Danio rerio: one gene and its partner. The protein of the gene in region 1 purifies or fractionates together with the protein of each later gene. This does not show direct contact. Links are inferred from orthologs where the notes say so. Each region holds a gene or a part of one and is shown on either strand. Other genes may lie near its edges. The genes, in order: pes and noc3l.

What was found.
Region 2: the proteins of pes (region 1) and noc3l purify together in Homo sapiens (affinity purification with mass spectrometry; 3 studies listed by BioGRID and IntAct, counting the BioPlex papers as one, with this or other methods). This does not show direct contact. The link is inferred for Danio rerio from reciprocal best matches to the Homo sapiens genes PES1 and NOC3L.

What each region holds. Positions count from the first base shown.
Region 1 is NC_133180.1:13,532,562-13,536,392, forward strand, and holds part of pes (pescadillo), read left to right. Parts: intron 1-1,751; coding exon 1,752-1,877; intron 1,878-2,292; coding exon 2,293-2,477; intron 2,478-3,831. UniProt on the Homo sapiens protein: Component of the PeBoW complex, which is required for maturation of 28S and 5.8S ribosomal RNAs and formation of the 60S ribosome.
Region 2 is NC_133187.1:5,951,049-5,954,879, forward strand, and holds part of noc3l (nucleolar complex protein 3 homolog), read right to left. Parts: coding exon 3,718-3,831; intron 2,092-3,717; coding exon 1,998-2,091; intron 1,927-1,997; coding exon 1,751-1,926; intron 1-1,750. UniProt on the Homo sapiens protein: May be required for adipogenesis.

The DNA of each region.
Region 1 (3,831 bases):
CACTATGAAGTGAAGTCACACCTTCCTGGCTTAGCACTTCTCAGTTTCATTCATTCATTTGTTCATTCACAAAATATGTCCGCGTCTACTTCCCAGAGGACAACAGCCAATTACATTAGTTTTCCAGGGTTGCGTAAACGTGATTGGGTAGCATATGCTCAAGGGTATTTGCATGGAGTAATCTGACTGGCATCTGTTTGACCATTTAAAGTTCACTCAAAGTTCACGTGAATCTTTGACGCTGACATAAGAAAGATACCATTTTAAGAATTAATTTAAATAATCCGAGGGCAGTTTCATCCAGTTAGCCACCTGTGGGTAAAGCTGACATGTCGTTCAGGTCCAAAACCGCATGATCAGCAGAGCGTGACTAGTCGACATCAATCAAAAAGCATCACGGCAGAGAATTAAAGTCGATTAGTTGACTAGTTGGTGCAACCCCTTGTGTGTGTGTGTGTGTGTGTGTGTATTCTGTTACATGGTTGCTTTTAAATTAAATAAATGAATAAAATCGAATTTAATAAAACTAAACTTTATATTAACAATAGGGATACAACGATTACAGATTTTAGTTGTATGATTGCAGTCTGAGGAATAATCACGATTATTATGCATTCATTCATTTTAAACTCTTTTAGTTTAGAAAATCACATGAAAACTCCTTTTGTTTTAAAGTGTTATGTATTGCTATTCAATAACCAATGAATACAGCACAACATAATAATAAACCAAACAAACAAACAATAGTCCATTTTACTTTGGACTTAAAAAGAAGTTTTTGGCGTTTAAACAGAAGTAATAATTTTACACTGAAAATCAATGACAGAACAATAATAAATTAATGAATATAAATAAGAATACATTTTAAAAAGTTGTATTTTTCTAATGTCTAATAAATATAAACCACTTATTAGCTAAGGGTTTCCCTTTTAAAGAGATCCAATGTAGGCAAAGGCTGCTGAACCACTGTCTGAAAGGCACTTTTGATCAACTATATTTTAATATTATATACATTTTTCTCTTTGGAGTAGGAATGTATAGTATAGTCCATACAGAGTATGAAGCTGACCGTTTAGTTCTTGTCATGTGACTCGCAGTGCTTTCATTCAACTAGGTGCACCTGGAAAGCATGAGCACGTTGCACTGCCTGTACCTCCATAGTAAATAACAAACTTGCGTGCACAAAAGACAAGATATGTGAACAGCCTTATGGTTTTAGCTTCTGCCATAGGTAAAGTCAGCCTTTAATCCAGTGTGTACATGTGTATTGTGTACAAGCTCAGAACTTTAAACTAGCACACAGTAAGCATAACTTTTAGGTGCAGCAGTTTCCCTGCTGAAACACGGTGTTGAGAAGGCTTTACGATTAATTAACTGTGACGAATCAAAGCGCAGTTAATAGCGAAATTGGTTAATCGTTGCATCTGTAATCAACAAAAAAGTCAGTGTTAGTTTAATATCAATAATATACGATTATATTTTTGGTCAGTTTTATTTTTTTATATATATTTTTATTGGGTTAATGTTTTAGCATTTTTGTTGAATGTTTCTGTCATTTTTTTATGTCAGTATACTGTTTATTTAGTTTTAGCTGTTTTACAAGACAAAGTTTTGGCAATTATTCGAAACAGATTTTAATATACATTTCATTTTAGTTGATTTTAATCCAAAAAAATGTAAAGAAATGTTAAAAAAAACACTATGAACCTGCACTTTTGTCAGCTTATATAAACTTGTCATATGTTGTACAGGTGTTTTGGTGGAGAGGTGTCTTGGGATAAATCCCTGTGCATCGGCAGCACGTATGAAGCCACAGACGAAACAATCACGCATCACATCGTGGACAGACCCAGCATGGACAAACAGTATATCAACAGGTCTGAAACCAACTCTCTGATCATATACAGTAGCTGTGTTTACTGTAGTTTCTGTGTTTACTGTAGTCAGTTTATGCTTTAGTTTTATTTGTATAGTTTATAATAGTTGTTTTATAATAGTTTTATTTGTATTTATAATTATAATTTCAAAGCTTTGCAAAAGGTGCATACTATTGCATTACAATCAAATTTGGAAAGATTAAGGTTATTAGTTACCATAACGTTATTAGTTACTAATAACATTAATTAACTAGTAACCAACAGTTTTTAACAGTTAAAGTTAGTATATATAAACAGTTAACCTGTAGTTCTAAAGTTAATAGATTATGTCTTTGTGTATGTGTTCAATGAAGTGTTTTATGTTTGTGTATTAAGTGTATATTCTTGTGCTTTATGAATTTTTTCAATGGTGCAGATACTACATTCAGCCCCAGTGGGTGTATGACTCTGTCAATGCTAAGATACAGTTACCTGTGGAGGAGTATTTTCTGGGAGTCACACTGCCGCCTCATCTGTCACCGTTTGTGGAGGAGACTGAAGGAGATTATGTGCCGCCAGAGAAACTCAAGCTCATGGCCCTGCAGAGAGGAGAGAAACCACGTGAGGGTTTTACTTACTGCTGTGTAGAGATGCACTGATTTTCTTTGCTAATTACTATTTTTTTAAATTTTTATTATTAATATTTTTTGGCAGGGCTGTGACCTGTCTATATGTACGTATGGTCATTTTACAGCTCCGTTGGGTTAAGTTTTACCATTTTTGAATCCATCAAGTCTATCTCCGGGTCTGGCGGGAGTACTTTTAGCTTAGCATAAATCATTGAATTGGATTAGACAATTAGCATCTGACTATTAAAAGTAAAATTAATTCCTTTTCAGATTTTTTGTGATGATTGTAGTTGCAAGCTGCTAATATAGTATCACTTTCACACACTAGCTATGTTTCCATCCAAAAATGTGAATTAGATTTATGTGCAGCACTGAAATATTAAATAAAACATTTGTGAATAAAGCAGCACTTCCATTCTAAGGCAAAAAGAACAAAATGACTTCCTGATAACCTGGCACTAAAGTAATGTTATAATACTGAACCACCTTGACGACAGACTTTGGCTGAGGGATTTTACAATGACCAAAGCAAAAAATAAATAAATCTGTTAAAACAATCACATAACTTTTTTTTTTTTGATGCACATGCTGGATTTTATTCTGTAAATGTTGTTCCATCAAAGTTTTGTATTATATGATGAAAGGTTAAACCCAGGGGTGCCCAAACCTTTTACTATAAAAGGTCAAAAAGCAGTCTTTATTGAGGGCTGTGAACCGAATATATACCAAACCATATACATTACATTTGCCATGGGTAATTTCCTAATTTATTTGGTAATATTAAAAAATAGAAAACATTGCTTTAAATCATATTGACTAATGCAGTATAATTTTTAACATTTTATAATAAACTTAATACAGTAAAATCCCATCCATAAGTCCTATGCTGAATACACTAGTCAAGATTACTTTGATTTGCTCACAGATTTCTTGTGCATCTGTCAAGTTACAGTATTTATTAGTATTTACAATATTTACATTTTAAAAGTCGGAAGCATATACAGTATTTAATTGAATCATTCATTTTTTAGTTTAGTTTTAGTAGCTCAGTAAAAAAACAAAGAAGCAAAAGGTTTTGTTGAATTGGAAATGACGATCACTGTCAAAGGCATTCGCCCCAACCCCTCCCCATCATTCTCCCTCTTTTTTTAGACGGGATGGTGGGCCAAATCGAAGATTACATAGGGCCAACTTTAGCCCGCAGGTCATACTTTGGGCTTCTCTGGTTTAATCTATTCAGTTATGTGCACATTTTTTATTGCACATTTTCAAAATTATGTGCATCTTTGTGTTTCTATTAAGCAATTTTAGGAAATTTTTCAAATAAACAAATTATAGGTGGATGG
Region 2 (3,831 bases), on another chromosome or scaffold:
CCTTCCAGGATTTTGAGATTGCTGAATTTATCACAAAAACAAGCAAACTACACAAAATTTTGCAGATCTCACATTTTTTTATGAAATGCCACAGATTTTCTGCAAAACTGGGTCTAGATGCTTTCTATGACATCATTACTGAATGTATTTACCCAGAATACCAGAACAAATTTCACCAGAAGAAGACAGCATTTTACACACACACAGGCACGCACGCACACTGACACGCACACGGACGTGCACATTTACCAACAAATAGTACTCTGAAAGACGCAGAAAAAAATTTGAGGTGAGTGAAATTACTTGAATAAAGACTTTTTTTTTGCAGGCTCTCACCACGTAACACCGGCATGGTGTCAGGCCTCTTTCACAGCGCATGTGCTAGCAGAGCAGAATGCAGCGTGTATGTGTGTGTGTGCACGCAGCGCATGAGCAGATTCGTGTAAAAGAAACTTGTGGGCACTTTAAATTTACTTTATTATTTTTTATCTAATTTTCTTCTGCTTATCTTTTTCTTTTTTTTTTTCTTTTTTTAGCTTTTTTTCAGTTGTTTTATTATTAATATGTTAATGAGTTTAATTGTTATTTGGTTACATATGTTGAAATTAAGTGCTATTTTATGTTACAGAACCCAATGTCTTAAAAAAAAAAAAAAATTTTATTCATTTTAAAATCTGTCATTTTTGGCCACATAAATCAAAATAAAGTCCTGCAAAATCCTGGAGGAACTGTTTTAGCTTTTAAAGCAGTCTTTACATTTTTTACAATAATTTTTTAAATATTGTTTTTTATTATTTTTATATTAGTTTTTATAATATTAGCCAACTTAAGATTTTAAACTGGCTACAGAACAGACCAGTTGTCCAATTACTTGAATTATCAACCCTACTTGACTAGTTAATCTAACCAAGACTTTAAATTGCGCTTTACAGAGTTCCCACTCTAAGCCACATATCAAATTCCCTCACTTTCCACTGACTAATCAGCTGAATTTCCATGATCTATAATAAAGAGCGACAGGCAGCTGGACTGTTCAGCAGTTCCTCCAGAATAATCCGATTCTGTCAATGCTAAATTAAACAAAAATATTGGTGCAAAGTTTATAGGAGCTTGCACTTTTTTTACTGACACAGATTTCCTGCAATTTTTGGTCAGCCAGGACAGCTAAAATGGCTGCAACACCATCTGCATTGTTTTTGCTTATAGAAAGTGCTTAACTGGTGTGTGATACCTCATGTTGTTACAAGAGAAACCTATGATTCTTGAGGTCAAATTTTTTTTTAATTAACTGAGATATGTAATTGTGTATATTTTACGCAAAATCTAAGAAGAACAGACAAAAAAAAAAGACAAAAAAAACAACAACACCATACAGTATTTAACAGTCAGTATTTTTCATGACCGCATTTCAATTTCCAAGTGGGAAAAAAAATCAATAAATTAAAATTTTAGTAAAAAAAAAATAGTCTAGCGATAACAACAAGCAAATATGTGAACAGCTTGATAGGAAACATGGGGGGAAAAAATCAGAGATACATTTTTATTAATGAAAAACCAGTCATTACAATCTAAACAAATATAAAATTCCTGGACCTTCAATATCTGGAATAGACCTTTTAAATATACAATTAAATATACTATTCCAGAAAATGACATGTGGAGTATCTTGCTAAATAATTTTTTATCATCATGGCAGGAGGGCTAATATTGTAGTCTTGATCTGTGTATGGCTGACAGTTAGCAGACTGACCTTCTTGTCGGAGTCATTCATCAAAGGCACCAGCATGACTATAATGTTGTTGTGGAAGTTGAAGTGTGGCAGAGCAACCAGCAGCTCACAGATGCAGCGCACGGCCACTTCAGCAAGACCCTTGTAGGACTGCAGAGACACGGCCTGACTTCTCTTCTCCTTCTTCTGCTTCCAGTCTGAAACGACAGCAGATCAGTCAGACAAACAAACAATGGATGAACAGGTAGAGCAGAGAACAGAGATCTACCTTTGACTGTCTGTTCCAGCTCCTCCAGGTAAAACTTATACTGGCTGACCAGACCCTCCTCAAACTCTCTGAGCTGCAGCGTCTCTTTCTTCACCTGAAGCAGAAAGGCAGATGCATGAAGCAATTTATTTCACACACATTATAGTCTTTTTTTTTTTTCCTGGAGTCCACCTGTCTAAAGAGCGGCCCCAATTAAGTCCTAATGAACATATTTTGAATTCTCAATGAACATTTTTACAGAATATAAGTCACATAATTCATAAACGCAGTTTCAATAGACTTTTAAATTAGTTTAGATTTGTTTTGGGGCTGCACGAGATATGGTTTCAGCAACGATATCACAATGTGCACATTTGCAATAGTCACATGGCAGGATCTGCATTTTTGAGTCTGTAACAATGTTGGAAATAATAATGTTGAAAACTGTAACAGAGGCGACACGATGGCTTAGTGGTTAGCACTGTGGCCTCACAGCAAGAAAGTCGCTGGTTCAAATCCTGGCTGGTTAAGTTGGCATTTCTGTGTGGAGTTTGCATGTTCTCCACGTGTTTCTGTGGGTTTCCTCCGAGTGCTCTGTTTTCCCGCACAGTCCAAACACATGTGCTATAGTTGAATTGGGTGAACTAAATTGGCCGCAGAACTAAATTGGCCCCATAATATCAGCCAAACGTTCTGCAGGTAGCACCCAAAAGCAGTGGAAGATGCTAACCATAGCACAATACTGAACATCGACCTCTGGATATGCTAAAGCAGGGGTGTCCAAAATCGGTCCGGTGTCCTGCAGATTTTAGCTCCAACTTGCCTCAACACACCTGCAAGGATGTTTCTAGAAAGCCTAGTAAGAGCTTGGTTAGCTAGCCCAGGTGTGTCTGATTGGGGTTGGAACTAAACTTTGCAGGACACCGGCCCTCCAGGACCGAGTTTGGACATGCCTGTGCTAAAGGAAGGCAGCTCTCGTTACGGGGCTCTAACGCGCCATTCGGAATAAATTAAATCTATCAATAATTAAAATAATTAAATCTTCTCAAACAAATGTTTGCTCCTGACAGCAGGTTTTGATCTTTGGTTTCATTCTATAATACTGGACTTATTTTCCTACGAAGGAACTGTGAAAGTGATTAAACAAGAGAGAAAAGTGTGAAAATGTTAATGGCTGTCTGAGAAAATAGTGTAGTGAGGGGTTTTACAGCTTTAAAACATATACAATAATTGCAAAAAATAAAGCTGACTTCTACTTATTTACTTATTACCAGGGCCTGACGGAATCTGCAGAAGATTTTGCTATTTCTGCGGAGAATGTTGGTAAAAATCTGCGGAATTATTTTGGGAGTATCATAACTAAACCTTAATATGTTAAGTAAAAAGTAATACCTTTTAAACTTTTATTTAATGTTTAAATTGCAAATCCAATTAGATGCACTTTATTTGGTAAACAAAGCAAGTCTCTCATATAATATCTTTACTAAAAGACAGAAAATATTACTGTAAAAACTGAATTGTGCATAAATCAGATGAACATTTTCATATTAGTCAATAATATTGCTTTAATTAATTAAAAAACTGAATAACGAGATTAACGAGACCACTGTATCTGTAAACTTTTTACATCAATGCAATTTATTGTTTCATTTCTTTCAAGCAAGCATTTTTTGTTGTCTTTTTTAAAGCACACTGGAAACATCTTTTACTCAAAATGAAAAGAATAATCAAGTCACTGCACCTTTGCGGCCTTCTCTTCTTCCGTCAGAGGTCGGATTCGATATGCCGGCACAATGTCCTTAAAGACCTCCATGAGGGAGACCATGACTAACTTTCTGACGGTGACGGCAACGCA